Linked DNA regions of Oryzias latipes. The protein of the gene in region 5 purifies or fractionates together with the protein of the main gene of each other region. This does not show direct contact. Links are inferred from orthologs where the notes say so. Each region holds a gene or a part of one and is shown on either strand. Other genes may lie near its edges. The genes, in order: cnot9, washc5, cnot11, cnot8, capzb, mtcl1 and CCR4-NOT transcription complex subunit 7.

Region 1 (4,047 bases), on a different chromosome or scaffold from region 5:
ATTAACTCTGTTATCCTTTTCCAAAATTTCAAAGGTTCCCTCTTTCCACTTGGTGCCGCCCAGCTCAATGGTGTTAAAGCGAATCTTGACAGTGCTACCACTGGAGAGTTTGGGCACAAAAGTTGACATGGCTTGCTATCCTGATGGTCCACTTGTTAGGTCTGAATTTAAGATGTACAAAAGAAATAAACATGTCAAGAAATAGTCACACGGGTAGCCTATAATGGCAAAAACAACCTCACTTTTATGACTGCTATTGCTATTTAACCAAATAAACAGTTTAAATGAATATTTTTACCATTGCTAAATGCCACATAACAAGAAGTTAGTATTTTTGTAACTAGTTTGCTATATTGTTTTTTTTACAGAACATGCAGCACCGACGTGCCATTCTGAAGATTATAAGTGATTTAATTTGTAGCCAACAATAACATTTGCTAAAAACTTGAAATGTGTTATTCAAAATTATAATAATAAATAAATAAAAGATACAGAAACAAAACTAATATGAGATATGTAGATACGTAGCCAACATGGCAAATGCGGTTTGAAGTAAAGGAAAAAGGTAGGACTTCATAATCCAAAGTGACAAGTTAGCATAACAGTACAATATGAATTACTGCACCACAAAAATCACAAAATATAACAAACTGCATATCCTGAACGGTCATTGAATTTTAGTTTTAAACATGTTTGTGTAGAGCCTGCATTTAAACAACAAACACTGACAACTCCAATGTTGCAGAGGAGAAGCAACACATTTTGAGCTGCGTTGTGATGCTCGTGGCGCGGCCAGAACCATAGATTCAAACGATATAAACAAAAATATCAGTCTATCAACGAACTAGTCGAATAACATGAATCTAATATTAAATGTGAAGCATGCAGTGGCGTTTTTGTTTCTTTAACAGACGCTTAATATGATGGAAGAGGCCCACATTAGCAACACTGGTTCCTAAGCTAGCGGGAGCTAGCTAACACAGTAATTTGGTGATGAAAACAACCACATTCAGTGCCATCGTCATTTCATTACCTGTCTAGGATCACGGTGGTGGTTCCAAACCTATAGAATGTGGACTTGACTTCGCAGATCCTTCGAGAGCATAAAAAAGGTTTTGCCGGCATTCACCTGCTGTTCTGTATGTTTGCTGCAAGTAGAGCAGCACACTACGCCTCACAGCAACGGGCGATGATGGCGGGAATGGGAACATTTACAACGGAAATGATGAACGAGATTGCGCTCCGTTCTCCTCTCGCGATATCTGAGACGTTGTTTGTAGCGAAGTTGTCCCTGCCGAGGAAAAAAAATCAAACGCGAGATTGAAAAAAATGCCAGTGTAAACTTGGTTTATTGATACTATAACGACAATAATTTCTTTTTGTGCTTCTGTAGTTCTCAGTGTTGGGATTTCGATTGAAGTTATGTGAAGTTACGCATGTTGTGGATCCCATTTGTTAGAGCACCTAGCAACTAGCTAAGCTAGCAGTTCGTAAGCATATGTCCATGGTTCTTACGGTGAGATTTCAGGGTCGAGTATTGCGAAGAGGTGCAAACTGACGAACTTTCTATTAAAAGAGTATTTTGAGATCCCGAAAAGCTTTCCAAAATGTTGGCAACGGGAGCGGTGAGTATCAAACTATTGCATCGCTCTCACGGTGACGTTCCCTCCAATTTCGCCTAAGTACATCGAAAATCTTTTTTTTCCTCCCAAATTTCAGCTTTCTTTATTGAATTAATTTTAAAGCAGAACTTCTCTTTGCAGTTTTCAAAGAAAGACTGCATAATATTAATGAAAGCCTCGTACAAATGTAGTACAGTATGGTTTTGGTATACATGTATTGCAGTTGGCAAATCATGAGACGTTTTTGTAGTTAAATTGACAAATAATTTGATTTTGCCCCAATTTGTCATAGCAGACATTTAACAAATTTACACGCTGTCATTTCCTCTTCATGATTTGGGTTTGCAGAAGGGGGAAATTAAACGTAGGTTACATATATCTTAATTAGCGTAATGTTTTTGTTCTTGAGTGTTTCGTTTGTTTGCTTGTTTAAAGAATTGATTGCGAATGGATTGATATTTTCTTCCTATCAAAGGCTGTAACCAACGTCACAGCCCTGGCCCAAGTAGACCGTGAGAAGATTTACCAGTGGATCAATGAGTTGTCCAGTCCAGAGACTAGAGAGAATGCTTTGCTGGAGCTCAGCAAGAAGCGAGAATCCGTGCCAGACTTGGCCCCAATGCTCTGGCATTCATGTGGCACCATTGCTGCCCTGTTGCAGGTATTGGTCCACCTGTTCATTTGACACAGGTCATCCCATTGGGACTGTTTGTGCATCTGTGCCTCTTGTATGGTCTTTATTTTTGTAGTGGTGTTAAACAACTCCTTTTGTTAATTAAATTGTCCTCCTTTTTTTTTTTTTCAGGAAATAGTAAACATCTATCCGTCTATTAACCCACCAACCCTTACAGCCCACCAGTCAAATAGAGTGTGTAATGCCCTGGCACTTTTGCAGTGTGTTGCCTCACATCCAGAGACACGGTAACAAGATAGTTATTGTTACTGAAAAATCAGATTTTTATTTTTTATTTTTAGTAATTCTAATAATTAACTGCTCTTATAATGTTTTAAAGGGGTAACAGACCACAATCTGTTTTATTTATTTGTTTATTATTTGTTTAAAAAGTAACAGTCATCAGTCACTTTTAATACATACATCATACAGAATAGTGGATTTTTCCAGCATTTAGCCTTTGCAGATCTTCAGTTTAAAGCGGTTAAAAGATAATAAATATAGTATTTTCATTTTTATTAAGGCCATGGTCTAAATAAATTGTTTAATATTAAGGTTTTGTTATGTAATTCCTCAATTCACTATAATTTAAAAAAAAAAACGAACTTATTTCCATTTGCAAGGTTTAATGTGTTACATTGATTAATATGATTTTATTTGTTTTGTCCACACCAGGTCAGCATTTCTAGCTGCCCATATTCCTCTTTTCCTTTACCCTTTTCTGCACACTGTGAGTAAAACGCGTCCATTTGAGTACCTGCGACTTACCAGTCTAGGAGTCATAGGTAATTTCTCCTGCTGAGATCATGTTTTTGTTGATTTTACTTTTAATTTAAAAAGTCTTCTCTTTTAGGTATTGCTCTGATAATTCTGTTTATGTCAGATCTTGATTTGTTTGTGTGTTCTTGACAGGTGCATTGGTGAAAACCGATGAACAAGAAGTGATAAACTTCCTTCTTACTACGGAAATCATCCCACTCTGTCTTCGCATCATGGAATCTGGAAGTGAACTCTCCAAGACGGTAATTACCAATGAAATCAAAAGCAGTTTTTATCAAGCAGGAAGAAAAAAATGGATTTTGGAGTCAAACATTCAAAATATGTGTTAACAGATTTGGGTTTTGGTTTTCTAAAACCTACTCTCATGCATTTATCTATGGTATGAATTTAACTCATGTTTCTACCATTGACTATAATTCTTTTTTTTTTATCAGGTTGCTACTTTCATACTGCAAAAGATCCTGCTGGATGACACTGGGTTGGCTTACATATGTCAGACTTATGAACGTTTTTCCCATGTCGCCATGATTCTTGTAAGTATTTTAGGATTTTTGTGTTGTGCACCTATAGCATTGTTGTGATAAAGATGTACAGTCAAGACCATAAATATTTGGACAGAGACACGTTTTTTCTAACGTGTCTCTCAGATCAACTCAGATGCCATTGAAGTGCAGACTTTCAGCCTTGGTTGAACAAAAAGATTGTATAAAAATGTGAAAAACTAAAGCATTTTTTAAACACAATCCCTTCATTTCTTGGGCTCCTAAGTAATTGGACAAATTAAATAACTGAAAACAAAATGGTCATTACTAATATTTGGTGGAAAACCCTTTGTTGGCAATGACAGCCTGAGCTGACCTCTCTTGATGAGAGACTGGCGGTAATAATTGGGGAATCCCTTTTAAGTGGTGTGGTGACTGAGGCGCAGGGGGAACACCGACGCGCCAGATGCACCGGGTGACATACCCCCAA
Region 2 (3,500 bases), on a different chromosome or scaffold from region 5:
AGGAGGAACTTCTGATGAAACATACAGGAAAGAGTCACTGCTTTCTTTTGATGACACAAAAACACAGACTGTCTGAAGTGAATGAAAAAACAAAAACTCCTTTAAGACGTGTACACTTTCCTCTCCTTCTCCATCAGGCCGCATTCTAAACTCATCAGATGCAGCAGACTGACCCACCTGTCAATGATCTGCCACGCGTAGGACAGGTCTCCAACGATCTGCATGGTGATGAGGACTTCCTCTTTGATGTTGATGGTGCGGATCATGTGGTGGAGGAACTTTCTGGTGTCTGCCAAAAACTGGCACACCTGCAAGTTGGACTCCAGCTGGTGGAATTCCTGGACCTGAATTCAGAAGAGGGAAACCTTCTGATGATGGTTCTTTCTATTATCGTTTAGATTACTGCACGAAAGCTCTTCAAAAGACCAAGTTCACGGAACATTACAGGAGCAGAACTCCAACTGGGATATGTTTGGAAGCATTGCTTTGACTTATTAGTTCTACATGAGACCAAGTAGATAAGATAGGACTAACACACTGATGTGCTCATCTCTCTCACCTCAATGAGAGCCTGTATCAGCTGAACAGTCTTCCTCCCAGCAGCCGTGGAGTCTTCGTAGTTCAAAGACTCAATCTGCTTTGAGATTTCCCGAAACCACGCCTGCAGGTTCTCTGCAAAGAATGGCAAAGGAATGTAAAACACAGAAATAAGGACCATCAGGATCCATGTGTGGCTTGGGGCTTCAGGGATTCAACTAATGCGGAGCTGTCACTGAGTCCAGACATGAAAGTAGCTCACCGTTCTTCTCCACCCTCGTGAGAGGTTTGACGCCAGAGAAGACTTCGGCCAGCTCCATCATTCTCTCAGATCCCTCTTTTTTGTAGTTTTCCCACTTGATCTGTTTCTCTGACAGCATCTGCTTGAACATCTGGAAAGGGGGGGGGGGGGGGGGTGGCGGCACATATGCTTATGACAAAGGGTTCGTCAGCTGAGATGTGTAATTAGTCAGAACATTAATTTTGCTTCTTTTTCTACGGAGAATCCGGCGAGCCATATGCTACCTCACTGTAAGGGATTTGGCTACGACGCCAGACGGCTCTAACAGGAACCAGACTGATCAATTTCAGCATTGGCTCCCCACTTTAGCTTAAAAAAGGGAAGTTAGAGTCTCTTCCATTGGTCACATAGTGAGATTTCCACGGATCTCACCTCCTTAAGTGTGAACTCAAACTGAGCGGTGTCCAGCAGCAGTTGGAACAGAGTCTTTGGATTGTACTTGGAGTCGTTCAGCACTTGGTCTTTGATCTGACGAAGGCGCTTGTTGTTTGGGTCGTAGGCTGAAAAGCACAAATCAGGATTTAGTGGCAAAAACAATGACTTCTCTAAATTATTATTTATCATAAATGTATCAGGGGGAAAAGATCAAGTCTCAGAAAGTATAAGAAAGTGCATCTCCTTGACTTTAAATCTTCTAAAATATAAAAAGAAATTGTTTCTCCCCCGACATATCTTCTTGTTTTTTGGCTCCTATCTGCTCTTGATTCACACCTGACTCTGCAGAATGCAGCATCAGCCAGCGAATGGCGACATTGCAGTCTCTCAGAGAGTTGAGCAGTTTGGGAATGTTGTCCAAGATGATCTCCTCCCTGAGGAAACCTTCCTTCAGCAGCTGCTGCACCTGAGGCCTTAGGCTCTCCATGCTGGCTGCATATCGAGAAGCCTGCACAGAGGGAATGTGGAAAAAGTTCATCCTTAAAGACCCCCTCTGATCATCCTTTAAGCCATTTTAAAATCATTCCCGGCGGTCTTTTGATTATGATTATGCCGCTTTTGGCCCAAATCAAATAAACTTGTGTTACATAGTTTGTGCAGAGCAGCAGTAGTTCATTAGACATTCATCTCTGAGTTGTGGGCAGGACTGTGGGTGCAAAGCAACCTCATCCCCCCTTTTCCCTATTGCGGAGCGGAGCAGGGAGCATATGGGCCACACAGCGTATTTTCTACGTCACCAATACAATCTTTTTTAAAACAGCATTTTTTCATCTGCTCCTGATTCACAATGATTTGAATAAAGAAATATTCAGAAATAGTATTTTGAGCTTCGTTCTCTTTATATATGTCCTCTATCGTAAAAAAAAAAAATGCAACAACAACTTGTTAAAGACACCAAAAACACAGTTTTCATTGGAGTGAGTCCTTAACCGGAGCAAATTTTAGGAGAACAGAAATGGCCACACCTGAAAGAAGAAAGAAGATCTTTATTAATTTGGCATGAGGCCGCTTTGCAGGGACCTGTAAAGCTGTATTTGGCAACACACATTCAAGCGGCCACTTCCGATGAAAAGTTTGTGTAATCGCGCATGAATGTTCATTTTGGGCTTCTATGTTTAAAACTCAAGCGCTCAAGTTTTTACAAGTGTTTTCAGGCTCTACGTACGAAACGCGGGGCCACTGAACTCAAGTTGAAAGTGAAATCAGGTCGAACTTTGACCAATCGGGGTCTTGGTTCTGGTAATGGCGTATAGATGGCATCCCTGTTTATTCACAGAAGCGCCAACCGTTTGAAAATCAAACATGAAGGAGAAATTAAAAACAGCAGAAAATCTATGACACCAAGTCCTTCATATATCGGAATAGAGCAGTGAAAGACAAAGGCAGGAGTAAGATTAGCGAGATTTGCACCACTTGGACATTTCGCACCAAGCCTCTTCCATCTGTAGGTGGCGGACATGCGCTAGTAAACAGGAGAAAAAGAAAAACAAGAAGAGGATCCTCCCTTCTTGTCCAGTGTGATCACCATGGGCTTTACGTGCATTCAAGGATGAGCTAATAGCGAGTGCATAAACGTGCATCAAATGCCCAGTGTGTACGAAGCTTCACTCCCACTTAACTAACTTTAGAAAGGCACAAATACTGAAAAAGGCGCTACAAACTCTGAGAAAGGGGCTAAAGGATTTGTTATACCTGCTCCTTGATGTTAGCAGCGTCCAGTGTGTAGTTGAGAGCTGTCTTAGCAGCTTTGTATGGTTCCCAGGCCTCTATCAGATTCACAGTGATCCCCATGTAGATGCTGATCACCTACACACCCGACAACATGGAGAGTGGATGATAACAATGAAGCCTTCACTTTTCCAGAAAGAAAAAAACACGTGTTTTATCTAGTGACTCGGTTCCCGTTACCCAGTTATCAGGGAAATACTTGTCTACAATCTCCCTCATCTTGGCCTGCTGTGTCTGCAAGATGGAGGGGTAGAAGAACAGGCACACGTACAGCATGGCTGCCTGGTTAGCCAGAGCTGTGCTGCGATGCTCAGGAAGAGGATAGGCAGACACCTGAGGGGTACAAACAACACGGCGAGAGTCAACACCCAACCGGACATCAAAGAGTCAGCAAAAGGACAAATAGAGTCAGCATTTCTCACCTGGTTGTAGATGTCGTCTGAGCGCAGCCTCCCAATGACCATGCTGATGAAAGTGGTGCTGATGGGAACCCTCTGGA
Region 3 (4,250 bases), on a different chromosome or scaffold from region 5:
AGGAGACCTGAATATGGTGTTAGATTGTCGACTGGATAGATGGCCACTACAAACTAATAATCCTAATGCTGAACTACTTTAATTTATACAAAGTTTTCATTTAAAAGATCCTTGGAGAGAAGAATCCAAACAAGATCAAGTTTTACATGGAGCAACAAAAGTATCTCCCGGCAGTCACATATTAGCCATATACTGGCTTGTTTTTGATCGTCTAGATACAGATGATATTAATATTAACATTTTTTTTTTAAAGATGGCAGTCAAATTCCCCGAGCCCTAAATCTAGTAAAAGATTTTTCTAATGGCCCTGCACTTCATCTTAACATCAAAAATGTGAAGAACTACCTATCAAATTTGACAAAACACGATCCATATGTAAAATTCCCATCACATACATGTAACACACCTAGGGATTACTATCACCAAAAATTATGGAAACTGTGTGTTGGCTCTCCAGCAGCAGCAGTTGTCTCTCTTGCCGCTCGGGAACTCTCTCCCGACGCCAAAGCCGTTAAAGACATCCCTGTTACACACAACCGTGTTTGCTTCTTAACTCTTAAATAATGGACACAGGAGACATTTCATTCTGAACCTGAAGTGCAGCTCCCCACTCACTTCGTCTTGACTATGATGAGAGGCTGCGCCTTCCTTTTTATTTTCAACTGCACGTAAAAAAAATTGGCGCATGCTTACGTAATAACATAATCAGACAGAGATCGTCTATGGTGACAGACATTGTACTCCAACACTGTGTAACATACCTAGGGATTACCATCACCTAAAACGAACATAAGAGAAGTTCTTCAAATTTCAGTCCCTAGTAAAACGTTTTAACTTATGGGTTTTAATTTAGGTCTCTTACCTGAGCCTAAAAGGCAGAGTACTGCTATCTCTACCTTCTCTTAACTCTCTCTCTCTCCCTCTCCCTCTCTATCTATCTATTTAAATAAAACAAATGTGAACGATTATTTGGTAGGAATAATTCATATACCATTTCCACCTGCTGGACTGGAGAGAAACTGAAGAAAACTACATCACCCAAGATGCAGTTCACCGGAAAATACGACTAAAAAATACTTCAAGCTAATGGCTCGCAGCACTATCCCATTCAGGGTCTTATTTCTTTCTCAGTCCTGGAAATATTATCTTTTGTAACTCTTTGGTTCGATTGATAAGTTATACGTTCATTTAATCTATTTGGATAATTATTTTTAAAAAGATGATTGATGTTTTGACGAGTTTCCCGGTTTTGTAGCTTATTTTTAAGCTAGGCTAACTTGATGCTAACCGCGTTATAGGATCTCAATCGAGATGACTTCTGGGCCACCGTCCTCCACTCTGCGTCTTCAAAGATGAATAAGCGGGTAAGAGCGCCGCTATAGTTATACAGAAAGACTTATCAGGGACCCCGGTCAATCTCTGCATCCGATCGAACTGTGGCGGGGAAACGATGACTCTGGCTCCAAAGGAACTGTCCAACCTGCTGAGCATAATCTCGGATGAGGCCTGCAACAACAGCTTCGAGACCCTCTCCACTCATTTCCATCATTACTTTGGGAAGGCGGACCACTTCAAGGTGGGTTCGGTTCTGGTCATGCTGCTGCAGCAGCCGGACCTGCTGCCCAGCTCTCCGCAGCGGCTCACAGCCCTCTATCTGCTCTGGGAGATGTACCGAACCGAGCCGTTGGCCGCGAACCCGTTCGCCGCCGTGTTCGCGCACCTGCTAAACCCAGCACCTTCCGGGGATGAGCAGGAGAAAGCCCTGTCCGGTAGGGCCGCTTCCTTTCACCTTTAGCCCGACGTCTCATCAGAACCGCAGCCGCTCAGTCTCTGTTTCGTTGGGTCCAGGCTTCCTTCCTCCCATCACGCAGCCGGAGAAGTTCTTCCTGTCCCAGCTGATGCTGGCTCCGCCCAGAGACCTCTTCAAAAAGACCCCCAGACAGGTGTCCTGCATGGACGTGAGCAACATGCCCCCATCTATAGACATCAGCGGGCTGCAGCTTCCTTTAGCAGGTCAGTGAAGGTTGTAAGGAAACATCTCATCACAGGTGAAGACGCCGTCAATCCCAGCCCTCTTTTTGCAGAGCGCCAGTCAGAGCTGCCCACCCAGAGCAAAGCCAGCTTCCCCAGCATCCTCAACGACCCCGATCCAGACTCCTCCAACTCAGGCTTCGACAGCTCTGTGGCCAATCAGATCATTGAGTCTCTGGTCACAGGGCTGCGTCCTCCTCTGGAGAGTAAGTGCTTTTTTTCACACAAGCTGTGATCACATCTGTGGAAGAAAGAAGGAATCTCCTCAGAAAAGATGGTAGCCGTCTCCTCAGCAAAAACTCACGGTTACAGGTTGATCGGCGCCGACCTGATCTGTTGAGTGCGATTGATCTTTAACTGATACTTTAAAAAAAAAAGTGTTTGAGTGACTGTCTAGAAGGTTTTTGCTGAAGTTATGTCATTTTTCAGTAGTTTTATATTAAAGTATTTAGACTTTGTTCAAAGGCCGTCTGTCTGAAGGTGTTGCTATGAGGCATGGTAAGTACCAGTTTCTCAAAACCCTCCCAGGTCATTTTCGACCCGAGTTCATCCGGCCGACGCCTCCGCTCCACACATGCGAAGATGAGCTGGCGTGGCTGAACCCCACCGAGCCGGACCACTGCATCCAGTGGGATCGGTCAATGTGTGTGAAGAACAGCACCGGCGTGGAGATCAAACGCATCATGGCCAAGGCCTTCAAGAGTCCGCTGTCGGCTCAGCAGCAGTCCCAGGTAGGTCTGATGCTGATCAACAACATGTTTGGTTTACACAAAGGCAAAGTCAGGGTTAAAATAAAAACTTTATTTAAAATAGGAACTCCTGTTCTTTGCAAAGAAACAAAAACTTAACTTCAGATCTGCTCTTTTTTCATTTTTAAATCAAGATTTATCAAAACAAAAACACAATTTGTGGGAAAAGTATTTGTTTCTTTTTTAACCTTTGTCTTCCTGGATTAGTTTTCTGGTGGTCTTAAAAAAAATCAACCTTTATTTTTCCCTTCACTCAAAAACTTTATCGTCCGTTCCCTAAAAGACAAATTATTTCTTGTGGAGGCGTTGACTCCTACTGCTGTGCACCGCTGTCACTCCTCTGTATTGACCTCGCCGTGTGTGCAGCTGCTGGCTGAGTTGGAGAAAGACCCAAAGCTGGTGTATCACATCGGCCTGACGCCTGTGAAGCTGCCTGAGCTGGTGGAGAACAACCCACTGGTGGCCATCGAGATGCTGCTAAAACTGATGCAGAGCAGCCAGATCACAGAGTATTTCTCAGTGCTCGTCAACATGGACATGTCGCTGCACTCCATGGAGGTGGTAAACAGGTGGGGGCGGGGCTTTGGCTGTATTCAGACCTGTTAACGAATCTCCAGTTGGGTTCCAGTTTGGTGCTGTTTCTGTAGTTTGGAAGTGATGGAGTTGTTTGCTCTCCTCCGTCAGGTTAACCACAGCTGTGGATCTGCCTCCAGAATTCATCCACCTCTACATCTCCAACTGCATCTCCACGTGTGAGCAGATCAAAGACAAATACATGCAGGTCAACACGCGTTCTTGGAACTGTGAACTGCTGAAGAGAGCTCAAGAGTTTTCCTCTGGAATAAAAACCCGCTTGATTCTTGCAGAACCGCCTGGTCCGGCTGGTGTGCGTCTTCCTGCAGTCGCTGATCCGAAACAAGATCATCAACGTCCAGGACCTGTTCATCGAGGTGCAGGCCTTCTGCATAGAGTTCAGCCGCATCCGTGAAGCGGCCGGCCTCTTCCGCCTTCTGAAGACCCTGGACACTGGGGAGAACCCGGCCGAGGCCAAGCCCATCAAATGAGCAGGAGTCCTGACATCAGAGGGAGCAGGGAGCCGTACAGCTCAGTCATGAGAGGACGTGCTGTAAATATGCAGCTCTGCGGAGGATCTTTGTCACTGACTCATCAATTTTTTCTTTATTAAACCCTCGAGTTTGTATTATTTTCGATGTCATTTCCTGAGTGATCAAATGTTGCATTAAGTCAAAGCTGCAGAAATTCCATAAGCTGCTATCACTTCGGCAGATTTACTGGAGCTCAGTGAAACATTTGAACTCAAAAGTGTTTTACTCCTTATTTTGTCTCCATAAAATTGTTGAGTGTTTGGTTCTTGTGTGCAGAGTTGTATGTTTGCAAAGCGTGACACAAGTTCTGACCGTTTTCTTCTGCTCCCAGTTTTCTAGCTTTTAAAAATGTTGAGGGTAAAGT
Region 4 (3,952 bases), on a different chromosome or scaffold from region 5:
TTGTAACCTCCACCAAGGCTTAGTGCTACATGGAGGGGTGGGGTCCCGTGGGAGGATGGGTTCTGCCCCCAGGCGGTAGCAGACAGAAGTCATTTTACTACTAATCAATAAAGAAGCTTCTGCAGTCACTTTGCGTTGACGAAGCAGAAGCAGCTTCACCTGCAAGGTGGCCTTCAAAGCCACACCCTCTTTTTAATAATTTTCCTTATTTTTAATCCCCTGCTGTTGTTTTACTTTATTATGAAGTTGTTCTTCTGTGTTTTTCCCTTAAAGCTGCAGCTGTTTCTGTGCTAAACATGATGTTTCTGTGGAGGACTGAAACTCACTTCATTCAATTGTGTAAAAATGTAAAATAAAAGGGTTCGGATGGACCGATTTGAACGCTGTTTTTCATTAGTTTCCTGTGACTTTTTGTCAAATCTTTTCCTTTCATGGTCATTGGTATCACATGGTCTACAGAGGGAACTACAGAGGGAGCAGCATGTGCAGCAGCTGCTCTTTCACCATTTTTTACCTCATCTAGGTTTCCGCGTCGCTCAGCAGATGCGTGTTTGGGGAAAGAAATACACATTCGTTTATACATTAAAAATACAGTTTCACATGAAAATACCTGTAAAACACAAGGAGTAATGAATGTTTCAATGAAATGTTGATATTCAAACAAAAACATGATATACCTACATGTCTCATGCTGTCTTTCATATGTTAAACTAAATTCATATTTACATTTTAATTATATGTGTATTGGAACCGTTACAAAGGTTATCATGGTTGAGTCCTGCACAATATAACCATCATATAGTTTGATAAATAATGTTTATTCTAATGTGTTCTCTGCTTGGCATTTTAGTTACATATTTGGGTTTATTGTTTTCAGTTTACAAACTTTTTTTTAAATAGTGTTTTTTTTTGTATTTCTGACATTTTTATTATGATTATTCCTATAATTTATTAAAAAGGTACAATGAATGACCCATTTACTGCATGGATGAGGGCCTTTAGGAAAAAATTTGTGTTGAAGTAGTTAATATGAATTTGACATATGAATATATTTAAGTAACAAAAAAATGTAAAGATAAGTCATACATTTTTATTTAATGGATGGATGTCAACAAATGAAGTAGCGTTGTGGAGCTTCCGCTCCGGACCGGCAGGGGGCAGTGTGCACGTTTATAGTCCACTCCAAACCGGAAGTGAGACGGTAGGAAATGAAGGAAGCAGACGACAGCGTTGTGTCGAGGGAATTTTAAGGTAAACCGGTTACCTAATTAAACGACTACATTTTTTTTCCCGGGCAGCTTCAGTCAGATTAAACACTTTAACAGGGCCACGTCATTTATTTATTCTTCAATGCTGCGTCATCTCTGCAACTTGACCGCGCGCGAATATTAACGTCTATGCTAACTGTTAGCATCGATCACGGTTTGTTTTCATTTTCTTTTCTGCTTAAGAACAATTTTAAAGTATATTTGTTTTATTTATAGTGTTAGAATGATTGAAAATATCGGTTTTATATTTGTATTTCGGCTGAAGTTAAATTAGTAAAGCCAGTTCCGCACTACAGTCAGTACGGAGTCGGCTGTCATGGCAACAACAGCGTTTTTTTAATGCTGTTCTTTGTTGTTTCTATTTTTATTGTTAGTTTTTGCTCGTTTTGAGAGCCTCCATACAGCGTGTACTTTCATTATATATAAAGATCTATGTGGAAACGCGTCAGGTAGACTGTAAAAATCCCAGTTACAGACTACAGAAACGTCATTTTACCATGTAACTTTCAGTGCTGCTGTTGAACTGATTTTTTTTTTAAACCAAATATATGGTGACACCCAAGACTACTTGGTGGATTATTACATACAGAAAGCAGTTAGTCTTCAATCTATCAATAGCATTTTGAATCAAATTGATGCTGTGAAACAGGGAAACAATTGTTAAGGGGTCAAAGCAGGACAGAGTAAAGACACGGTTTGACCCTGCATTTGACCTTAGATCAGTAAATGATGCCATCATGACTGGGTAACTTTTGAATAAATTAAGTAGACTCTTATTAGATGCTCAGCTTCCAAAGATTCCCTATTTTTATGTTGTATACTTGTGATGATTTGACGGCATTACTCTGAGATTTAAGTACGTTTTTTCTAAATCTCCTTTCGCAGTTCTTTTTTTGTTGCACGGTCCCCCTTCCCACCCCCCCTTGAAGCCCTGCAGGACCGTCGGGTCTCCTAGGAACCTGCCAACATGCCAGCTGCTCTTCAAGATTCCAGCCAGATGATCTGTGAAGTCTGGGCGAGCAACGTGGGGGAAGAGATGAGGAAGATACGGCAAATTATCCAAAGCTACAACTACGTTGCCATGGTTACAGGCTCTCCTTTCTTTGTTGACAGTTGAATTCTAAAAAGAAAAACAAAGAACGTAAATGTGGTGATTGCAAATGTGTGCTAGTCTCTTCCTTTCCTGGAGTGTCCTAACCCTGCATTTCTGTGTCTTAGGACACGGAGTTTCCCGGAGTCGTGGTCCGACCCATAGGCGAGTTTCGCAGTACGGTAGATTACCAGTACCAGCTGCTGCGGTGCAACGTGGATCTGCTGAAGATCATCCAGCTTGGTCTCACATTCATGAACGAGGATGGGGATTACCCCCCCGGCACGACCACGTGGCAATTCAACTTCAAGTTCAACCTGACGTAGGTGCTTCGTCGTCTCATGGGACTGAAAACGTTCGCTGCTTCCTGTCAACCTGCTGGCAGCCTAAGCCACTTATGTGCTATGATGACAACAGTCTTTAAAAATAATAAAAAACATAAACAGAGACGCCTGTAAATTAAACTCCAGTACGTAAGCCTTAAACAGGCTGTGAAAGATGCAATGAGCCACTTCTCCACTAGGAGACAGTATTTCACACAGAAGTTTGTGCCTCAGCTGTTCTACTGTGGTGTTAAACTGCATGAACTTTTTACTTTTTTTTTTTTATTAGATGTATTTTAATAATTAAAAAAAGGTTGATTTACATTTTTGTTTACTCCTTTTCATAAATCTCTGAAAAGTGAAAGGTTCACAGGTTTTCTAGTGAAATAAGATGATCAAGTCCTGAAATGATCCTTGATGTTCTCTAACGTTGTGTGCAGTGAGGATATGTACTCCCAGGACTCCATAGACCTGCTCCAGAACTCGGGTCTGCAGTTCAAAAAACACGAAGAAGAAGGAATCGACACGCTGTACTTCGCCGAGCTCCTCATGACGTCGGGTCTGGTTCTGTGTGAGAACGTCAAGTGGCTGTCCTTCCACAGGTCGGTTGTCTGCTGGCTTGTTCCATGAACGGGGGTGGGAGGGGGTCTTCTGTTTGATCTTTCAGAAATCATAAAATATAATTAAAATCACTTTAACCCAGTAGAACCCACGGTGACGTCAGTGTAACAGAAAATATCAGAAATGGATTCTTTGGTCCATTTGGTTTGTGGTTAAAATATGCACTTTATTTTAAACAACAAATGGGTCTGGGTACTTATGGGTTAACACCAGAATAGAGATCCAGATAAAACAATGTAAGCAGGTCAAAAACATCTCTTTTACTCTGAACTTAATCCTTGTCAGAGGAAAAACTTCTCTGGGATCTTCAGGGAGAAATTTCAGAGATTAGCTGCATGGAGCTGAATTCTGAGCTCCAGTTAAAGTTCTGCCTCTGGTTCATTCCAAATATGATCTCTGATGCTAAAGCATGAAGAGACTTGAACAGAAGCAGAACTATTTGAAAGGCTGTTGTGTGACCTCGGGACTGATGGTCAAAATCAGAAGCGGAGCAGCAGCGTTCTGGATGAACTGCTGCTTCTTTTCTGGGTCCAGACGTTACAGCAGTCTGACCTGCTGGAGACAAACTCCACAATAAACTGGTATCTTAGTCCTCTTTGGTTCTGCTGATGTTTCTTAGACGATATAATGTAGATGACGTTCAAGATTAT
Region 5 (4,107 bases):
AATTGCTACAGCAGTTAAAAAGAAGAATGACAGCAATGTGCAAAAGACTGAAGGGGTGCTCAAAATGTGCAAAAATAGAAAAAGTAGCTACTCTTCATTCTAGAATTATGTTTTTTTCTTCCCATTCCTCAGTTTTATTGTGAATTTCTTTTTCTTCCTAATCTCTGTACCTCTCATACTCTCAATGTGAGGACTATTTAAAAATTTTGCAAGAGAGAAATGTTATTTTGTCTCCATAATTTACGTTCAGGTCTTCCTTTTAGGCACCAGCTGGTCATAAGAAAATTAAACCAACAAAATTAGGAAAAATTTGTAAAATAAAAATTTAGGATTTATTATACAAAAACAAGCATAAAAAATTCCTATAACAACCAGTCTAATGCTGAACCTTATACTGCCCAAATTCTTCGACAGGAATTCATGCACAATTTCAAATGTTTTAACGTATGTTAGCGTCCCCTGGGAAAAAGTACAGTTTATTGTATGAAGTATACTTAAATATAACTAAAGTATGTATAGCTACCATAGACCGGGAAGAGTAGAAACATTTCTTTAGACTAAATTGGAACATCCTAAGTTTGCAATAAATAGATAGTACCTTTATGAAAAGTAAACTTCAAGTATACTGCCTCACTTTTAGCATCGACTTGTAGTACACTTAAATAGATATATTTGTGCTAAAGGGTGGCATGAAGAAAAGAAGGACCTCTTCATTAAAGCTGATTGCAAATGTAAATAACTGTGGAAAACATGTTGCCTTTCTTGAGGCCCTGAACACGACCTAAATTCATTTTAACGTCAGAAAAGCGGAGGACATAAATACTACTCTTGTCTATGTTTAGCTTTTTTTAATATTGAAAACATTTCCTAAATGCTGAGGAAATGCCAAGACTAGTCCAGCCTTTTGTCACAAGTTTATCTACATTGAAGTCTGACTGCAAATTTAAGTCAACTCCTAAGTTTTACAACTCATAATGACAGTTGGACTGTCACAAAATGTACTTTTAAAACAACTAATGGAGACACCAATCATATGCATTTAATTGCACACTCCCACAAATAAAACACAGGAAGATTTGGCAGTGATGTCCTGGAGGTCAAAATAAAGGGAACACATTAAAAACGGTTGCAGTCCCAAAGCTCAAACAGACAAACTGCCAGCATAACTTCCTAATTATCTATTTACAAGAGCAATGCTTTTAACTTCTTCCTATAGACCGATGCTATACTGTCTTTGCAGCAAAGTGTCTTCCGCCCTCTCCGGCTGCATACTTACACCTCCACTCCTCTCTTTCCATACTTGGCAATACCTCTTTTGCTCTGCTGCTATTGGCTGCTGCTGAGACAGCCCGGAGTGACCCGGATGTGCAAAGCGAGGCCTGTTTTCTCGCCGTGGCCTCCTTCCTGTAGCCCGGTTGAGGAAGTAAATTTCGCTGACAGGGCTGGGTTCACTGAGGGAGAGGCGAAGAAAACATCTTCCGCAGGGGACTAAAATACAAATAAAAACCACAAAAAGCGAAAAGGACGAGTTGGTAAATTAAAAGCGAACCTAGCGCGTACCGGCATCTGTGGATCGTGCCCCCCTGCCCCGCTGAGACCGCCGCAGACATGGTGAGTAAGGGCCGCGGCGGAGCTGGTGGGAGAGACGGGGAAGGGTTTTGGAGGGGCTGCGGCTAACTATACGCCTTCAGGTGCTACGACAAGCGAGCAGTGGTAACATGAGAGGAATAAAAATAAAAATCACAGAGGCATCCAACCGTAATGAGGAGAGTAAATAAACTAGGACCGCTGTTCATGGACGGTTTGCCCGTCTCTTCTAGCATGTTTAGGTGTTAGCTAACTGTTACTCGGGCTACCTGCTAGGCTAGGCTTAAAGTTAGCACAGGATGTTTTGGATTTGACACAAGTTTGCTAGCAGCAGTATCCAAGACCCCAAATATAGCAGACATTGAAACTGGTTGATCTAGGAGGCGGCTGTCGCTAAAATAAGACTCGCTGCTCGTATTCCTGACCGTGACGGGCTGACCGACTGCCTCTGCTGCTGCTGCTGCTGCTGCTGGGTTTCCTGCTTGGGGAGTCATGACTTCCTAAAGGAAAGAAGACATTTACCCCAACAAGAAATGCCACAAATCAATGTTGACGTTTGAGTTAAACTAATGTTATTGTTCTCATTTAGGTCAGAAGAGCCAGACATCACTGCCAAACTACCAACAGTTATTTAAAAGATGAATAAAATGCAGCATTAGATGTTCAATTCTACTCAAATATTCATACATTTTTTCTAGATTACCTTCTAAAACCAAATTTGTTTAGACAGTTTTCACTTAAGAGCTTCAAACTGATTTTAGGGAAGATTTTTAAAAAGAAAATTGAATTTGTTCATCAAAATCTACCAGAAAGCTTTTGTCTGAACAAATAAAAGCACATCAGTCCATAGTGAGGATGGAAAGGTGCAGCATAATCAATAGAGGCCAGCCGCCACTTTAAACACTTTAGGTTGTTTTGTAAAAAAAAAAAAAAAAATACAAATGTTCAAAGCATTTGAACTATAATTCATTTATTATAAACATAAGACAAATGTTGTGAATGTCAAAGAATTTGATTAGTTTTACGCCAAAATAAGAATTTGTTCGCATCATGAGTTTCATGTTTCAATACAGGCTAATGATTTTCATTTGGTATTTCTAATAAAATCTAAATAATTATAACACAACTGGGTGAACATTTGTTTGTGTCCTGATATTGTTTGAACTTCCTGAAACCTTTCGAAAGAACAAAAACTAAGGACTTTTCTATCGTCTGTTAGTCCCATAAAGACCTGATAAACAAAAGGTTTGTTGTTACGTTTTAGTTTGAAAGGTTGTCTCACAAAACTGAGTTTGACATGACAAACTGTTCATTCTTATCCGTTGTAATGTCTCCAAACATTTAGCCTCTGCAGGTGTTTTAGACAACTTTCTGTCTTCCCAGCCATTTCTGTCCACTTTGTTTCTAAATTGCGCAGAACCAAAACATAAACCTACCATAATCAAAGTTATTTGACTGTTTAGAATATATTACAGAAGTCTGACTTGAAAGCCGGTTTTTGCTTGGTGACTGTTGGACTTTTCAAATGTCACATGAATCTTTAGTAACTTCCTAACAGTTTTCTGTTTCTGGAGCCGTGGATGTTTCTCTAATATTCATAGTTTGTATGAGGAAGCAGACAGTGACGCAGAAACAATAACTCAGGTGGAGATTAACGATAGAGGAAACCCAGAGTCCAGCTTTGAAGACATATTTGTTTTTGACTTTTTGAAATTTGGTTTTTGTTCAGGTTTTGAGCTCCCATCTCTGTCCTGCGTGGCTGAAAGCAGGAGCAGCAGATGTTGTTTCTCTGGAGTCGCCTTTTCTCTGAGCCTCGGTCATAATCCTGACCGTCCTGCCTTGCTAGTCTCCCATGACCCCGGGGCCTGTTGGCTTGAGCTAGTATTTACACAGAAACGTGCGAGGAACGGAGGTGACTGATGATGCAGATTAAGATCAGCTAAAAGAGGCTTAAAGATGGAGCCAAACAAGTGACTCAGAGGTGGAGAAATTGCTCCCCGGAGACGTTTTTTTCAGACTCTTAAGGAATGATTTATGGAGGGAAAGATTTTCTGCACTCAAACAGGTCGTCGTCGTTCGATCTGATAGCTGATGCAGCACAACATTTGTACAGTTTGTACACATTTGATCCTTTTTAACTCTGGGCAGAAGAATATTCAACAAAAGAAATGAGTAGAAATAGATGTAAAAGACAAACGGTGGAACTAAGAAACCGTTTTTTGTGACACGTTTCTAAATTATTTGTAATAAGATGGGTTATAAAACCTTTTCTAGTTGTCATTTGTCACAGTTAAAACACATTTAGCGTTTCAGTTTTTAGCATCAATCTGATCTGCTGTATCAACACAGACTAGCCTGTGAGGAATGTTTATGTGCAGAGAACTGCATCCACATGTGAGTTATTTATGTCGCCTCATGGCCTCTTCAGTTCACTTAAGTTAAAGTTTTTTTTCCAATTTGAAGAAATACACCTTTTGTGATCTAAACACTGTGTTTAAAAAAAAAAACTGTGGTTAAGTC
Region 6 (3,500 bases), on a different chromosome or scaffold from region 5:
CTTCATCTCAGACTCTACAGGCCTCATGCTGTGTGGAACCAGAAAATGTCATTTGGATCTGGAAAGAATACTTCTGGTCATCGTAAGACATTGTTGGAGGTTGTTCTTTGGGTTCCTTTTGTTTTGGACAAAGCTTCTGCTGCGTTAATCTGGCCTTTACAGAGGAAGCAAACGAAAATCTGCTTTCAGGCAGTCTGTAGTCACTGGTTTGAACCCCCAAGCTGCTGGCATAGAGAAAAACAAAAGCATTTCCTGCTCAGCCTGATTGAACCGTCATATGTTTTTACCTCTTTAAAGTCAGGAGACCCGGATTTCTGCCACCAGCAATGCAGAGAAAAACTGCTTCCAGTCAGACGCCGCAAAGACACAGTCCCTCTTGATGCGTCCTGTATCTTATAGAAGAAAAACTCTCATCTCTAAACCAATTAGGAGGCTTGAACTATAGACGGCAGATTATCTTTTCAACTCTCCGGCTTTTAATCCACGAGGCTCTTACATGCTTGAGTCCTTCAGCAGAGCAGAGTTCAGCGAGGGCTGCAGAGGGAACTAATGTGCTTAGTTTTGTCTGATAAGGCCATGTGGAGCCCTCTTCTTGCTCCACTCTGCTTCCCTCTGGTTATGCGCTCAGAAATGGGCTTCAGGAAGCCCATCAGAGCAGAGGACGTCTCTCCCAGCTCAGCATTTTTCTGCGTCTGGTGTTGGGTGGTTCAGCCTCACAGCCGCTGCTCATTCTTTTTAAAACCTGCTGGTGAAATGAACCTTTGTTTCCTTAAATGAAGGCATGCGTAGAAAAAGAATGGCTTGTTTGACAATGCATTTGAAATTTGGCTTAGACAACATTGAAATGACTGACAGTAGACCTGCTGCTACATTAAACAGGTTTGTAGTGGAAGACGTTTTTGTAAAACGCTTTCAAAATTTCATGGAAACATTTCCTGCTGGAGAATTTGGTCGTTTAATCAGGTTATTTGACTAGAAACTGAACAAATGTTCAAAATCATCAGCACCTCAGAGTCTAATAACATTTCTTTGGAGAACGACATGAACAAACTTGTAAAAGTGACCTTCTTGAGTTGGAAGTTGCTGCTGCTGATTTGACTTTGCCTTCATCTACAAACATGATAAATGAACAGACTCAGAGTGTCCTCTGTCATTTTTCACTGCAGTGACTCCTCTGTGTCTGTTGTTTGAGCAGCTGGAGGAGGAGGCCCGGGGCGAGGCGCAGGGGGGGGAGGTCGATCCGGAGCCCGAGCGGGCCTTGAAGCAGGAGCGCGAGGAGCATCGGCGCATTCTGGCCGAGAGCCACAGCACATCCCTGGACCTCCGCTGGAAGCTGCAGCACGGAGAGAAGAGGTGGAGCCGCGAGAGGACAGAGCTCCTGGAGCGCTTCAGCCGAGAGCGGCAGGAGTGGGAGAGCAGCATGAGGGAGCTGCACCGCAAGATGGAGAGGGTGAGAGAGGGCGGAGTTTCCGAAAAACAAGGAACATTCATCTTCTCATCATCTAACGGTGTTTCCTCGGGAAACTGTCCTGCATTTTTTTTAATCCCACCCTGCTACAACACGCCTGCCTCTGATGACTTGATGAATTGTCCGGCTTCTGCAGAGCCCGATGATGAATCAGGTGTGCATAGGCGGGGCAACATGGAAACCATGCAGGACGGTGTTTCCCGAAGACCAGGGTTGGGTAACACTGATCCAACAGCTTGTTTCAGTTTGTCGTCAATTCTGGAACTTTGGGTTTTGTTTCAGTGAAACTAATTTATAGAGGACTTATTCACGTTCCAAACAGAAAGGAATGTGAGGCTTCATTTACTCTGATGTAAAGGGTTTGAATGCAAATTGAAGCTTAATTTTCTTGATATATGTCGTCTATCATCAGAAAAATGCCACAAGAGTATGTTAGAAACACCCAAAACAGGATTTTCAGAGCAGCGCAGTAAAATGATGCTCTAAATTCAAGGCCGAGTCAGAAATAGTTCATGTATTTATTCAGATCAAATCTTCTGTAATGTTTTTGCTGCATAAACCTCAGCAGAAGGAAGAGAAAAAAGAAGGAAAAATTCCCAACTCCAAATTGAATCTGTTTCATTTTTAGCAGAGTACAGTAAAAACATCACTGTATTTGACTGCAACCATGCTCCTCATCTGTGCCTGATGGACAGGAAGCAGCCCCCCCAACCCCACCTCAACCACCATTACACAATACAGGTGTGAGGCTTTTGTTCACCCTTGTGCTATCTTAGATGACCCCCCCCTTACATTGACATGTTCTCCCTACCATGACAAAGGTGGATAAAGGTGGATAGATTTCATGTAATCCATGGACACCAGTGAAGATCACAAATCACTGAAGAAAAAAGATTCAGAGCACTGTCTAGTGGGTCTAGATGACCCAACTCCCAATGTTGAAGTGCCTAGGATAGCACAAGGGTCAAACACGAAGCAGAACAAACTTCTGATTTGTCACAGAGCACAGCCATCAGTGCAGAGGCAGGGATGCAGAGTTCAGCATTTAACTGCAGAAAACAATCAAGCAGACGACGCTCGGCTCAGAAACACTGAAAACGTTAGAACTGTGGTCTGGAGCAGGATGCTTACAGTGAATTATCTATAGTATTCTGGAAACTTTTGGGGAACTAAAAGGACTGATTGTTTGTTGAACATGAGATTTAACACAGAACCTGTTTCCGGTCCAGTTTAGAGGGCTGAAAGCTACAGAGAAGTTCATCGGATCTGCACTAAAACTGGATCCACTTTTGTTGACAAAAAAAAGTTTAGTGTTTATATATTTTAATAAAATCTATATTCCTGGCACAAGCGGCAAGATTAATGTCGATTTTACGGATGGTTTAAACTCTCAAAGAAAAAAGGAAAAACTGAATTTTCTCATTTCAGAGCCAATGGGTTGATGTCCCTCAGGGAAAAACGCAAACTTAGAGAAATGCTGTGTTCAAGTGGTGTTGGAAAGATCAGAAATATGACTGTCCAACTCGGAAAACATACATGAAAATTTTCAGAATCACTTTCTGCACCTAAACAATGTTTTTTTTGTGCCCTGTCTATGGAGAGACACCAGAATTACAGGGGAAATAATAAGGATCACCGATATAATTTATTCCAGATTAAACGGGCCGCATGTGGCCCCTGGCCTTAGTTTGCCCTCTCCTGGTGTAGTGGTTAGCACCTTTGCGTCACAGTGAGAAAGCCATGCTTCAAATCCATCCTGGGACCTTTCTGTGTGGAATCTGCATGTCTCTCTCGTGCATGTGTGGGTTTTCTCCAGTCTGACATGTTCAGGTTGTACCCCACCGTCACCCAACTGCATATGGGATAGGCTCGAGCAGCCCTGTGACCTCAGAAACGGATTCAATGGATTCTGAAGGATGGATGGATGGAATCTCTTAAAAACAGTTAATCTGTTTTCATTAAGACATTAACACTCTGTGAAAGTAATAGGGTTTCTGATTGAAGGGCGGACAAATTCGTGTTAAAGCTTCAG
Region 7 (4,050 bases), on a different chromosome or scaffold from region 5:
GTTTTTCACGTCCCCCAGCCGGGACTTGAACCGGGGGCCTTCTTGCTGTGAGGCAAGAGCGCTAACCACTGCGCCACCGTGCAGCCTAAATGCAATAATATTTACTAAAAACGATTTTTTTGTAATCTTATATTAGCCACTGATTTTTTTTATTTTAGAAAAAATTACATAGTGGGAGATTGTCCCATTTTGTCTTTGTGTTGCAAATAAATAGAAGATGAGGAAGTGAAGCAACAATATGTTTATAAATAAATTATTTTGTTTTAAAAAGTACACATCCTACCTGAGGATGTGTACAAATCAAGAAAATGTGGGTCATAGTTTCAGGTTTGGCATCACAAAAAGAACCACTGGTGTCATCATTTTTGCAGCTGTGTAAAATACTTCATGCCCGAATTTATTCTCAATGTTGAAAAAACTTCCTTTGTGAATGAAGTGCTGGAGAAAATGAAATGTTATGAATTACTAACTTACGGGATGAGGGGTTAAAGGTCAAAGAAAAAGAAAAAGAATGAAATACAGATAACATAGAAAAAAATTAAACATTACAAAAATTACATAAGGTATGAAAAATTATAAGGGCATTTACACAACATATTGGTTATTGAGGGTTTGTGTTCAACAATAAAAGTTAAAGGTAAAATCTTTTTCACCCTAAATGTCCTCTAGTCCATATTTGTTGAAAATGTTTCCCTTAAAGATGTCAATCATATGCATTCTTTTTTTTCATCTTAGAGTGGTCATAAAATGATCAAAATCAACAAAAATGCGAACGTTGGATTATGATGCGTCTGTGAAAATTGTACTTTTTTATTAAAACAAGTGATTTGAAAAACGAATTTATCTCTGCATCATGTTTTACTTGAATTTAAAATGTGGCCTTTTTGGTTTCATGGCTAACATTTTTATTTGTGTAAAACTTTTTCAGTAATTTACCAAAATAATATAACTTTAGGGGCAAAAAAAAGTTTATTTTACTTTAATATAAATTGAAAAGAAAATATATTTTGTGAAAAAATAAAAAAAATCTGTACAGTATAATTTTTAAAAATAATATATCCTTTGAAAATAATTATATATACACTTTCAACGAGAGCCTGTTCACCTTGAATAAATTAGTAATTAATAAGAAATATATAACGTTTATTTGTACTTTTTAAAATTTATATATTCCTCTTTACAAACATTTATTGGAAAACCTTTTTTCACATTTTACGGATGAGGATCCTGAAACGTCCTTACGTCCTGACGTTTCACTTTACGTAATGACGTCACTGTGTGGGGTCCGCTGTGATGGCAGCCGTAGGTTGACATCAAGCCCCACTGAATATAAAAGTATTTCAAAGTTGGCGGAACACCCCCCTCCCCTCCCTGCTGACAGATATCACAGAACACACGGCCAGCTTTCAGATAGCACACGCTCAAACACGCGCGCGCCCGTTTCGGGGAACGGTGAGTCAACGAAACAAAACCTTTGCAGTCTCCCAAAAAAAAAAAAAAGAAAAGAAGTGACGCCCCGGCGTGTGTGCGCGCGCGCGCACTGCTGCTACTTACTCGTGCCTGTCCTGTTGTACAACCACTCCTGTGTAGTTGATCGAAACTAATGTTTTGTGTGAGAAAACCGCACAGTCGCCACTCCTCTTGTTCGGAAGTTTTACCTCCAACCCGCTAACTGTTAACAGGTAACAAGCTAGCAACAGTGCTGCTTTAAATTACGAGCTAGCAGGCGGCTAAAACACACATGACTTCTACTACTAACTAAGCGGCTCTTTTCATGTGGTTTCGGCTGCTTTGTCTGTGTTTTCATGATGCTCTCATCATCCCCCGCCCCCCATCTCCACGCGTGGTGAAGTGGCACTATGCCCGCAGCCACTGTAGACCACAGCCAAAGAATATGTGAGGTCTGGGCCAGTAACCTGGAAGAGGAGCTCAAGAGAATCCGGCACGTCATCCGAAAGTACAACTACATCGCAATGGTGAGAGATGCTCAGAGACCCCACCCATCCATCCACCTATCCATCCACCCACCTATCCATCCATCCACCCATCCATCCATCCATCCACCCATCCATCCATCCACCTACCCACCTATCCACCCACCCATCCACCCACCCATCCATCCACCTATCCATCCACCTATCCATCCATCCATCCACCTATCCATCCATCCACCTATCCACCCACCCATCCACCCATCCACCCACCCATCCATCCACCCACCCACCCATCCACCCATCCATCCATCCATCCATCCATCTACCCACCCACCCATCCATCCATCCATCCATCCATCCACCTACCCAACCATCGATCCACCCATCCATCCATCCACCCACCCATCCACCCATCCACCCACCCATCCATCCATCCACCCACCCACCCACCCATCCACCCACCCATCCATCCACCCACCCATCCATCCATCCATCCACCCACCCATCCATCCATCCACCTACCCAACCATCGATCCATCCATCCATCCACCCACCCACCCACCCACCCATCCATCCATCCATCCATCTATCCATCCTCCCACCCACCCACTGTCACTGGTGTCCACGGTCCCTCGTTCTTGCCTCTTTCAGGACACAGAGTTTCCAGGAGTTGTAGCCCGACCCATCGGAGAGTTCCGGAGCAATGCCGACTATCAGTACCAGTTGCTGCGCTGCAACGTGGACCTGCTGAAGATCATCCAGCTGGGCCTGACCTTCATGAACGAGCAGGGAGAGTACCCCCCCGGGACGTCAACGTGGCAGTTCAACTTTAAGTTTAGCCTCACGTGAGTCTCTCACTATGTCTAAACAGACTCGTCCGCTTGGATTCCCATGAACGACTTCACAATCTGTAAAAACAATTCAATTCAAAACACATTAAAGTCCTATATGCCTTTGATCTATTTTAAAAGCATTCCCAATCAGATTTAAATTATGGTTATTCCGTATTTTAGCCACACACAAAAAAAAGTTGTCATTTTCCTGGATATAGTTTCTGCAGTTTCTACCCTTTATTCTCCTTCCTTGTTGCTGAGAGCTCTCTGTTTACACAATCTCCCGGTAGCTTACAGCCCCCTCATACCGCCTGACCTGATATTGACCGGTGCAACAAAAAGGGCGAGCCAGCTCAGACGAGGAAGACGAAGGTTAATTTTCTTTATGTATCATCAAAAAAAAAAACCACCACCACATGTTAAGCCCTCCAAAAACACAACTTACATTTTTTTTATCAGAGGGGGTAGGCGCACAAAGGGGATTTAAATTAATCGAAGAGAAAGCATCCTGAATGAAAATAGGAGTTTTTATATTTAAAAAAAAAAAAACAGATCAAAGCTGCCTGAAAAATACAAGTAATTAATGAAAAAAATAGCAATAATGCATGCTCTAAATAGGAAGCACAGGTGTTTTTTTAATTGTTTTTTATTGTTAAACAGATGGGGTTTTTTTTTACTTTTTTTACGTAAGCTTGGGTGGCTTTTTAAAAAAAATTTTAAGTTATGTTTGTTTTGTGAATCATGTAAAACATCTAAAGATTCTTGGAGAAATCCATGGTGGATGTTCTGGGACGGAGGAGGCGGGGCTTACAGGAGAAGCATTTGTCTTTCAGAATAAGAGCGGCGCTTTCATCCCTTCTCACACGATTGGTCCCCCGTGGGTTCAACGATGCTTTTCAAAGTCAAGCGTTATTCTGTCCATCGTTCCCAAATGGAAGAATTTGCACTTTTTCCAGCATCCAGTCAGATCCTAGTCGATCTATTCCTGCCTTAAGTTTTTTTTTGAAGGTTTCCCTCTTTGCTGAGCAAACCTACAAAGTTTAAGTTTTTTAATGGTTATTCTGTGGCGTTTTGTTTGTTGTTTTTTTGGAATGAAAGCGTGAAGCTTAGAAACAGAGATGTGTTTTATTTATTTATTTCATTTATGTATTTATTGTTTTAACCAGAGAGGACATGTACGCGCAGGACTCCATCGAGCTCCTGACCACTTCAGGAATTCAGTTCAAGAAGCACGAGGAAGAAGGCATCGAGACGCTGTTCTTTGCAGAGCTGCTGATGACATC

Evidence for each region.
Region 1: the proteins of capzb (region 5) and cnot9 purify together in Homo sapiens (co-immunoprecipitation; 3 studies listed by BioGRID and IntAct, with this or other methods). This does not show direct contact. The link is inferred for Oryzias latipes from reciprocal best matches to the Homo sapiens genes CAPZB and CNOT9.
Region 2: the proteins of capzb (region 5) and washc5 purify together in Homo sapiens (co-immunoprecipitation; 4 studies listed by BioGRID and IntAct, counting the BioPlex papers as one, with this or other methods). This does not show direct contact. The link is inferred for Oryzias latipes from reciprocal best matches to the Homo sapiens genes CAPZB and WASHC5.
Region 3: the proteins of capzb (region 5) and cnot11 purify together in Homo sapiens (co-immunoprecipitation; 3 studies listed by BioGRID and IntAct, with this or other methods). This does not show direct contact. The link is inferred for Oryzias latipes from reciprocal best matches to the Homo sapiens genes CAPZB and CNOT11.
Region 4: the proteins of capzb (region 5) and cnot8 purify together in Homo sapiens (co-immunoprecipitation; 3 studies listed by BioGRID and IntAct, with this or other methods). This does not show direct contact. The link is inferred for Oryzias latipes from reciprocal best matches to the Homo sapiens genes CAPZB and CNOT8.
Region 6: the proteins of capzb (region 5) and mtcl1 purify together in Homo sapiens (co-immunoprecipitation; 3 studies listed by BioGRID and IntAct, with this or other methods). This does not show direct contact. The link is inferred for Oryzias latipes from reciprocal best matches to the Homo sapiens genes CAPZB and MTCL1.
Region 7: the proteins of capzb (region 5) and CCR4-NOT transcription complex subunit 7 purify together in Homo sapiens (co-immunoprecipitation; 3 studies listed by BioGRID and IntAct, with this or other methods). This does not show direct contact. The link is inferred for Oryzias latipes from reciprocal best matches to the Homo sapiens genes CAPZB and CNOT7.

Annotation. Positions count from the first base shown.
Region 1 is NC_019879.2:16,425,501-16,429,547, reverse strand, and holds the start of cnot9 (CCR4-NOT transcription complex subunit 9), read left to right. Parts: upstream 1-1,247; 5' UTR 1,248-1,607; coding exon 1,608-1,625; intron 1,626-2,097; coding exon 2,098-2,283; intron 2,284-2,427; coding exon 2,428-2,543; intron 2,544-2,970; coding exon 2,971-3,080; intron 3,081-3,207; coding exon 3,208-3,317; intron 3,318-3,509; coding exon 3,510-3,608; intron 3,609-4,047. Other genes in the region: usp37 (ubiquitin carboxyl-terminal hydrolase 37), read right to left, coding at 1-129. UniProt on the Homo sapiens protein: Component of the CCR4-NOT complex which is one of the major cellular mRNA deadenylases and is linked to various cellular processes including bulk mRNA degradation, miRNA-mediated repression, translational repression during translational initiation and general transcription regulation.
Region 2 is NC_019874.2:13,940,617-13,944,116, reverse strand, and holds part of washc5 (WASH complex subunit 5), read right to left. Parts: coding exon 3,424-3,500; intron 3,335-3,423; coding exon 3,182-3,334; intron 3,080-3,181; coding exon 2,966-3,079; intron 1,722-2,965; coding exon 1,550-1,721; intron 1,339-1,549; coding exon 1,211-1,338; intron 930-1,210; coding exon 800-929; intron 673-799; coding exon 560-672; intron 345-559; coding exon 178-344; intron 1-177. UniProt on the Homo sapiens protein: Acts as a component of the WASH core complex that functions as a nucleation-promoting factor (NPF) at the surface of endosomes, where it recruits and activates the Arp2/3 complex to induce actin polymerization, playing a key role in the fission of tubules that serve as transport intermediates during endosome sorting.
Region 3 is NC_019879.2:14,490,662-14,494,911, forward strand, and holds cnot11 (CCR4-NOT transcription complex subunit 11), read left to right. Parts: upstream 1-1,450; coding exon 1,451-1,769; intron 1,770-1,848; coding exon 1,849-2,013; intron 2,014-2,084; coding exon 2,085-2,237; intron 2,238-2,559; coding exon 2,560-2,762; intron 2,763-3,146; coding exon 3,147-3,349; intron 3,350-3,464; coding exon 3,465-3,561; intron 3,562-3,646; coding exon 3,647-3,844; 3' UTR 3,845-4,151; downstream 4,152-4,250. UniProt on the Homo sapiens protein: Component of the CCR4-NOT complex which is one of the major cellular mRNA deadenylases and is linked to various cellular processes including bulk mRNA degradation, miRNA-mediated repression, translational repression during translational initiation and general transcription regulation.
Region 4 is NC_019872.2:29,379,670-29,383,621, forward strand, and holds the start of cnot8 (CCR4-NOT transcription complex subunit 8), read left to right. Parts: upstream 1-1,152; 5' UTR 1,153-1,251; exon of another isoform or gene 1,252-1,422; intron 1,423-2,153; 5' UTR 2,154-2,235; coding exon 2,236-2,352; intron 2,353-2,486; coding exon 2,487-2,680; intron 2,681-3,121; coding exon 3,122-3,283; intron 3,284-3,952. UniProt on the Homo sapiens protein: Has 3'-5' poly(A) exoribonuclease activity for synthetic poly(A) RNA substrate. Its function seems to be partially redundant with that of CNOT7.
Region 5 is NC_019863.2:2,090,747-2,094,853, forward strand, and holds the start of capzb (F-actin-capping protein subunit beta), read left to right. Parts: upstream 1-1,307; 5' UTR 1,308-1,608; coding exon 1,609-1,611; intron 1,612-4,107. UniProt on the Homo sapiens protein: F-actin-capping proteins bind in a Ca(2+)-independent manner to the fast growing ends of actin filaments (barbed end) thereby blocking the exchange of subunits at these ends.
Region 6 is NC_019875.2:4,684,046-4,687,545, forward strand, and holds part of mtcl1 (microtubule cross-linking factor 1), read left to right. Parts: intron 1-1,195; coding exon 1,196-1,450; intron 1,451-3,500. UniProt on the Homo sapiens protein: Microtubule-associated factor involved in the late phase of epithelial polarization and microtubule dynamics regulation.
Region 7 is NC_019868.2:26,784,432-26,788,481, reverse strand, and holds the start of CCR4-NOT transcription complex subunit 7, read left to right. Parts: upstream 1-1,250; 5' UTR 1,251-1,452; exon of another isoform or gene 1,453-1,682; intron 1,683-1,852; 5' UTR 1,853-1,859; coding exon 1,860-1,976; intron 1,977-2,585; coding exon 2,586-2,779; intron 2,780-3,933; coding exon 3,934-4,050. UniProt on the Homo sapiens protein: Has 3'-5' poly(A) exoribonuclease activity for synthetic poly(A) RNA substrate. Its function seems to be partially redundant with that of CNOT8.